2 linked regions of the Arabidopsis thaliana genome follow. The protein of the gene in region 1 interacts with the protein of each later gene in a pairwise test. Each region holds a gene or a part of one and is shown in the gene's direction. Other genes may lie near its edges.

Region 1 (4,365 bases):
AGGTAATGCTGCTTTCGTTCTAACTTTGAGATTACTTTCTAACTTTTGATGAGACATCAAATGTTTGACCCCTCACTCTTCTCAGGCAAGAGGTGATGGACCTGATGGCTCAAAGCGGAAAATTTGATAAGAAGTTCAAAGGTTTTACAAGTGAGTTTCTTCAGACATTGACATGTAGTTGTCTTGAAAAACCTTAAGCTTCATGGAGTCTGACAACTTTGGCTTTTGTAGGCACCAGTGGTCCTTTAGGGAAGAAGCTGAACAACTCTAAGACACGAGCGGAGATAGGATGGGAGCCGAAGTATCCAAGCTTTGCCCAATTTTTTGGAGTATCGACATAATATTTTTACTTGGATTGATTAAGAATGTCTCTAGCGCTGAAGAATCCAATAATGTGAAGCATTATTTATGTTTGGTACAAACAAACTCATGTATCCTCTTGAGTGATCAAACAGCTGAAATTTTCAGAATTCTTCATAAAGCTCCATGGTTCATATATATAAATCATATTTTGTTAATTTACTTAATACAGTTAGCAAATGGGTTGAGAAGTAAATAATCAACGCAAACTTAATCAGTTTGAATAAAATATATAAACGTGGTTAGATCATAATAATAAAGCATCTTATAAATCATCTAATTAGATGGATTTTAAAGGTTTCTGTCAAGATGTAAAAGCTTGTGTCTTGTTCATTACCAAATTAAGATTCTAACAAAGAAATAGGCCAAACATACGAGGCCTCAGGTATGAGCCTAACAAACACATCCATGCCTCCATCTCACCCACATAATTTGATATGAAGGTTTCATTATACCTTTATTAATAAAAATACTTAATTCATTAACATGTTCACAAATCATCTCATTGGTGATATGTGCAAGCAAATAATCTTATCAGTTATCACATTTGGTTTCTTAACACCAGTTATGGAAGGTTGTTATAAGTTACACAATGTCTTATAATTAGGGTGATGGCCCATCACTGATGGGTGATGTTTTATCTATATATAAAAAAATCTTATATTAATTTGGCTATATACAAACATTGAACCAGATTCAGAGGGTTGCTAGGCGTATGATATGTCTGAAGTGATTAATTCGACTTTAAGAAATTTGTAGCCTAATGCAAAAATACTTTGTCGGATTTAGAAGGCCTAACAATTAGGAACAACACCTAATGCAAGACGTTCCAACCACCTGATTATTTATTTAAGTTAAATGTCACTAAATTTCTAAACTGCTCCGCAAGTTTTAGGGTTCACACAGAGTTGACACTTTTTGCATTGCATTTTGGGCCTTCATAGAGAGATGAGGAGTAATTACTAATTAGCTTTGTTTTCCGATAAAACTTGTGAAGAAATGAAAATGATATGTATATGTCTAAGAAAATCACCAAAGCTTGAGACAATTGATCTCATCCTAAAAATATCTCACATTATGCAACAAAATGTCTCCACATGTTATATTTACAAAATCATGAGTAACTTGGAGACGACATTGCAAATTAACATCATTGACATCAGTAGATACTCCATCGCAAATTGTCAAAAATCACAGCTCCATATTTTCAGGCCTAAAATTAACCACCGACCATACATCCCGTATTCTTAATATCGATATTGATTTTAAATGAAAGGAACTCATCGCTTAAGACAAAAAAAAAAACAAAAAAAAAAACAAGAAAGAAATTCGAAGTTATGGTTTCCTCGATCAGAACAAGTATTAAATTTGCATTAAAATTGGTTTAATAAAACGAGAAACTAAAGAATTTGCTGGTTGGCAAACTAAGAAGTCAGAAGTCACCAGCAATTTACAGCCAATCAGCTATGCAAAAGTTATACTATTTGCTACTGAGTGATCACATTATATTGTGCAGAAAAAAATAAAATCCAGGAAAACTTGAACCAAACTTTTGTTTTTTTGTTTAAAAAGAGAAAGAAAGAAAATTAAATAGGGGACAAAAATGAAAATGCAAGAATGACTCACTTTTTTTTTGGTTTAAGGGTTTATAAGAATGACTCACTTTTTCTCCAAGACCAATATAAAATGGAGGTTTGCATGAAGAAACTATAATTCAAAGCAGTCAACTAGCAAGAGAAAGAGAGAAAAGTGAAGATGTTCCTCAAGGTTCATGAAATTGCTTTTCTCTTTGGTCTCTTAGGTAATTTATTTCCCTTATTCTTTTATGCTTTTGAGTTATGGTCAGAATATGTAAATAAAATCAACAATAAAAGTGACGTATCATATATTTCCAACAGAGTATACATGTTCTTTATTTTTTATTTTTTATTTTTTGAACAACAGAATACATGTTCTTTATATTACTTAACATTTATACCCAAAATAAAGAAGTTCATAACACTAATATTGATTCTGGCTTTTGTTTTCAGGCAACATTGTGTCTTTTGGGGTGTTCTTGTCACCAGTGTAAGTTTCTAACTCGAAATGCTATATATTAAAATAGTTTATATAAAGTATTTGATTAATTATACATATTTTAGGCCAACGTTTTATGGGATATACAAGAAGAAATCATCAAAAGGGTTTCAGTCGATACCGTACATATGTGCACTAGCAAGTGCAACTCTTCTTCTCTACTACGGAATCATGAAGACACATGCTTATCTGATCATTAGTATTAACACCTTTGGATGTTTCATTGAAATCTCCTACTTGTTTCTCTATATCCTTTATGCACCAAGAGAGGCCAAGGTTCCTATAATTATATATTTCTATTTATAGTATGGTTGATATTTTTAGTATGTACACCTCTAGTTTCAAAAATCTTGATTGTGATGAAACTCTATATCTACAACTAATTAATCTGGTGGTACACTTGGCAGATATCCACGTTGAAGTTGATAGTGATATGCAACATCGGTGGACTTGGTCTCTTAATTCTTCTAGTTAATCTTTTGGTTCCAAAACAACACCGCGTCTCGACCGTTGGATGGGTTTGTGCTGCCTACAGTCTCGCAGTCTTTGCTTCTCCCTTAAGCGTCATGGTGATGATCCATCTATCAGCTTTTCTTCAAACATCTGCCGTTTTTTGTAGTGAATTGGAAATTAATATACAATGTGTAATGTTGCAGAGGAAGGTTATAAAGACAAAGAGTGTGGAATACATGCCGTTTCTTCTCTCCTTGTCTCTCACTCTTAACGCCGTCATGTGGTTCTTTTATGGACTTCTTATCAAAGACAAGTTCATTGCTGTAATATTAATTGACATTTTCACATTCATCTTTCAATATTCTAACTAGTTTTTGGTTACTAATAAGTCTCTCTATGTCGCTTTGTATTCAGATGCCAAACATTCTCGGTTTTCTATTCGGTGTAGCTCAGATGATACTATACATGATGTATCAAGGTTCCACGAAAACGGATTTGCCAACAGAGAACCAACTAGCAAATAAAACCGATGTTAACGAAGTCCCGATCGTGGCCGTTGAATTGCCTGATGTGGGATCAGACAATGTTGAAGGATCGGTGAGGCCAATGAAGTGAAGGGCAAACATGCATGGGGAAGATGTATGGGAGACGACATGTTATCGTATGTTGGAATAATAAACTTTAATTTCTATGTTTTGTCGGTTTGAGTCGGTCTAACCAAAACCAATGTTATATTGTTTTGACTTTTGATCATCACCAACCCTTGATAAAAGATAATCTAGTCTACGGTATTTAAGTCTATGTCGATGCGTACCTAAGCTAAGCTCCATGGAACTATCAGTTAAAATGCTTTAACAGTTGGAACTGAAAAAAATAATCAATCTAATCCAAATGGTTGTACAATCAACAGATGGAATAAAATATTTAGATGAATTTTCATTATTTATTTATTTATTTATAGTGGAACCACAGGAAAAAAATATTATAACTAATTTTGCTTGAAAAAGTTGAATTATAAGTTTTCTTTAATACATTGTTGGATATAATCACATTATTCTTCTATAATCCTATCCCATTTATGTGATCTATTTTATTCATCTTTTTACTAATTTCTCCCACTTTTTATTTTGGTCGGCACTAATTTGCTCTAAGGCTCTAACAACAACAAATCTTTACCATAACCAAGTTTTGATGTCGGCACAAAAAAAAGACTGAATGTGTCATAAATGGTTGCGTTGAGAGTTGAGACGTGTTGGTATCCTGCATGATTGTGCCGTGAGAGTCTGACTCATGCAGCAAGGACCTCGCTTTTCCGCAGCCACAGAAAAACAAGCTGATTGGTTCTGCTTTATGATTCCATTATTGAGCTCCCAAGAAATTGAATGTCATTTCTACGTTAGCTAATGGTTGTGTCGTTTTTTTTTATGGGAGTAGACTTGGTAGTGATAGGGCCAGATTTTTCATTTACCATTTCCC
Region 2 (3,607 bases), on another chromosome or scaffold:
AATTCTGGTGTTTTGTCGTACAAGTGCACCAGCAGCAACCATCCCATGCTTTTCAACAACGACCCCATCAAGAAGTGTCGCACCCATCCCAATAAAGGTCTCATCCTCAACAGTACATCCATGTAAAACAGCACTATGACCTGTTACACATTTAATTTAAGACTATATCCCAAATGCTTCTTGGAGATGTATGCATATTAAACATTTTCAAAATAAACAGTGAGTAAGAGATTCCCACTAACCAATGGTTACATTGTCTCCAATTATGGTTGGGTGCACCTTCCCGCTTAAGTTTGATTTTGCCACATGCACAAGTGAGTTGTCCTGAATATTAGTTCCTGACCCAACACTTACGGTGTTCACATCGCCTGCGCAGAAAAAAAGAGAGAAAGCAAGTTTAGATTGTATGTTATCCCAGTTTCCTGGTAAAGTACTAACAGGCTTAGCCATACAGTACCAATGTGTTATGACATGAAAGCATTCTGTAAAAAGGACAACCCTATTTCATCACCATTAAATAAAAATCCAGACTAGCCAACTCATACTCGCAATAAGGATTCAACTCAAACTCAATAATCTGTATATGATATCGTTCAACTAATTCTGGTGTTATGACATGAAAGCATTCTGTATATGATTGGGGATATCATATACCCAATCACCCATTAGAGCAACTGCCAGTATCATCAAGATACGATATGTAGTAATGATCTGTTTAAGATCCTTCAATAAAGCTAGAAAGCTCCATTTTGAGTAGTAGTCTTGTTCATCGCTTAACCAGAAGAGTAAAAAACAGATATTCGTTCACTATTTTCTATCGTAAGAGTTGACACAGCTAAGGATACAGAAGTAGATACTATTTCAAACAAAACTTCAGTCACTAAAATAGTCAACCACCAAACACCAAACATTGAGGCTTAGTAGCTAGCTCACCTCGTAATACGCATCCATACCAAATGGACGATCCTCTTCCAATGTGAACGTCCCCAATAACTGAGGCGCTTGGTGCCACAAAAGCTTCCTTGTCCACAATCGGAGCCTTATCAAATACATTCATCAGTGTCCGATGCCTTGACACTACACAGAGAAAACCACAATTACATATAAGCAAATTTCGTGACCAGGAAACAAAAAAAAAACTAAGCAGCAAAACACATTCCACATCAATTAATCCCTTGTGCCATTCGAATCCAGAATCGCTATACCTACAAAGACATCAATTCCAGATCTCTAACCTAACCAGAATAGGTGAGCTGAATTACCCAATCGAAACTCCTCACTCTTTACGAATTCGAAATCGGAGTGAAAAATAGAGTTACGCAGAATCTTACGTTGTTCTCGGAAGTAATTTTTGCCTTGAAGGCGACAACCGAGGCGATCAAGAGCTTGACCAGTCTCACGGATCCAAAAACCGACCGAGTAAAATGCTCTGCCTAGGGTTCCCATTGATCGTCACTTTCTTCGAGCTCACAGGTAAACGAGGACTCAACACTGAATGAAGAAGACGAAAATGGTCGAAGCTGAAGAAGAGACGGAAGAAAAAAAATCAGCGAAAATGGATTTCAACAGGAACATTCCGGGACGGCGAAACAATAAATTACAGTTACAGTGGTTTAATATGGTTTAATCGAACCAAAACAATACGAAATATGAACCAAATCTAATTCGATATTTCAGGTAGTAGTTTCATTAAACCGATTATATTATTCGGTACGAATTTATTACTATATTTTCACTAAATTGAACGGTCCAAAACCTGCCGACCAAAAATCAAATGGCCCTATCAGTAACAATGTCGTTTCGTATCGTCGTCACTTGCAACGCATAACACGTGAGAAAAGATAAACATCGGGTAAAAATGGCCCACTGGTGGGTGGAGAATGGTAATAATTCAGTTTAAAAGCTAAGCCTTCTCACTGATTAACTCAATCATTCATCCGTCTCTGCAAACAAAGGAAGAAGAATCAAGATGGCTCTGGAAATCTGTGTGAAAGCTGCTGTTGGTGCTCCTGATCATCTCGGCGACTGTAACCATCTTCTCTTTCTCTCTCTGTTTTTGTTTTGCATTAAGCTTTTGATTTTGCAATTCTTAATTTCTGAGCTTTGATCGTTGGTAAATTTACTAATTTAAGTGTTTGTTTGTCGTTTTAGGTCCGTTCAGCCAACGGGCTCTTCTCACACTCGAGGAGAAGAGTCTTACCTACAAAATCCATCTGATTAACCTCTCTGACAAACCCCAGTGGTCAGTTTCTCTCACGCCTAAACCCTTAAGATCGGTCTAGTTTGAACTTGTTTAGCCATAATCTCTGAAATTTTACTTGTAACTGGTACGAGCTTTGTGTTAACCGGAAATTGGATTGGCTTCATGTGCGAGCATTGTGTTAACCGGAACTTGAAATTGGTGGCTTTGGTTTTATATATGATGCAGGTTCTTGGACATTAGTCCTCAAGGGAAAGTACCAGTGCTTAAGATCGACGACAAGTGGGTGACTGATTCCGACGTCATCGTTGGTATACTCGAGGAGAAGTATCCTGATCCACCACTCAAGACTCCTGCTGAATTTGCCTCTGTTGGATCCAACATTTTTGGTACTTTTGGGACATTCTTGAAGAGCAAAGACTCCAATGACGGATCTGAACATGCCTTGCTTGTTGAGCTAGAAGCTTTGGAAAACCATCTTAAGAGTCACGATGGCCCTTTTATCGCCGGAGAAAGAGTTTCCGCAGTGGATCTAAGCTTAGCACCAAAGCTTTACCACCTTCAAGTTGCTCTTGGCCATTTCAAAAGCTGGTCTGTCCCTGAGAGCTTTCCCCATGTCCATAACTACATGAAGACTCTGTTCTCGCTCGACTCTTTTGAGAAAACTAAGACCGAGGAAAAGTATGTGATCTCTGGATGGGCTCCCAAGGTTAACCCTTGAAACTATGCACCGTTATGAGATCGTTGGTGTGGTAATGTTGTTCAAGGTCTCTCTCTTATATCAGTCAAATAATGTACTTGGACCTTTTTATGTAATGTACTGTATCAATCAAATAAGAAGCCTATTTTGAAATAAGATTTGCCTCCATATCGAAACTCGGATAAACACTGGCTACACGTAACATAAGGGACAAGGGTTTTTTCAGACAAATTATTTAAGAAACTCATCGACAGTACTTGTGTACTTGACCTCAGGATAAAGCTCAGAAGTCTTAACTCCAAAAGAAGGATCTATAGTCAAGGAGGTAAAGTCGCTCTTCGCAAGGACCGTATGGATCAAACCCACAAAAAAATCCATTGGAGGCTGGGTCTCTGCAAATGCAAGTGACTCGTTTAATACTTTGGAGTTTGGACTGATGAATATTGGATATCAGAAACTGTTTTTATGGTTTAACTGATCACCTTTGATGGTTTTGAGGAGTTCTTCCTCAGAAACATAAGTCTTGTCGAGACTCGAGAGTCTTACCGATCTTTACATCCCACAAATCAACCATATCGTTCTGCGATACAATGTTCTTGGGCGGGTGAATGTAGGGTTGGGTGAGATTTTCCAAGAATGTTCCTGGGAGAAGGCAGTTATAGTCGCACCGTCAGCAGTCGTAAGGTAATCGGATTTTATTGTGGATG

What was found. Proteins that work in one complex are often made in the same cells at the same time.
Region 2: the proteins of SWEET9 (region 1) and DHAR1 interact in a protein complementation assay, tested with the Arabidopsis thaliana proteins (one large-scale study listed by BioGRID).

What each region holds. Positions count from the first base shown.
Region 1 is NC_003071.7:16,305,957-16,310,321, reverse strand, and holds SWEET9 (Nodulin MtN3 family protein), read left to right. Parts: upstream 1-1,959; 5' UTR 1,960-2,115; coding exon 2,116-2,161; intron 2,162-2,390; coding exon 2,391-2,427; intron 2,428-2,501; coding exon 2,502-2,712; intron 2,713-2,843; coding exon 2,844-3,005; intron 3,006-3,092; coding exon 3,093-3,212; intron 3,213-3,303; coding exon 3,304-3,504; 3' UTR 3,505-3,831; downstream 3,832-4,365. Other genes in the region: EMB2799 (NAD(P)-binding Rossmann-fold superfamily protein), read left to right, coding at 1-2, 86-150, 232-341. UniProt on the Arabidopsis thaliana protein: Mediates both low-affinity uptake and efflux of sugar across the plasma membrane. Nectary-specific sugar transporter required for nectar production by mediating the secretion of sucrose from the nectary parenchyma to the extracellular space.
Region 2 is NC_003070.9:6,772,776-6,776,382, reverse strand, and holds DHAR1 (dehydroascorbate reductase), read left to right. Parts: upstream 1-1,859; 5' UTR 1,860-1,969; coding exon 1,970-2,027; intron 2,028-2,151; coding exon 2,152-2,242; intron 2,243-2,428; coding exon 2,429-2,921; 3' UTR 2,922-3,081; downstream 3,082-3,607. Other genes in the region: GAMMA CA1 (gamma carbonic anhydrase 1), read right to left, coding at 1-140, 243-368, 934-1,077, 1,332-1,446; AT1G19565 (uncharacterized protein), read left to right, coding at 3,252-3,304, 3,413-3,504. UniProt on the Arabidopsis thaliana protein: Displays a dual function. As a soluble protein, exhibits glutathione-dependent thiol transferase and dehydroascorbate (DHA) reductase activities. Key component of the ascorbate recycling system.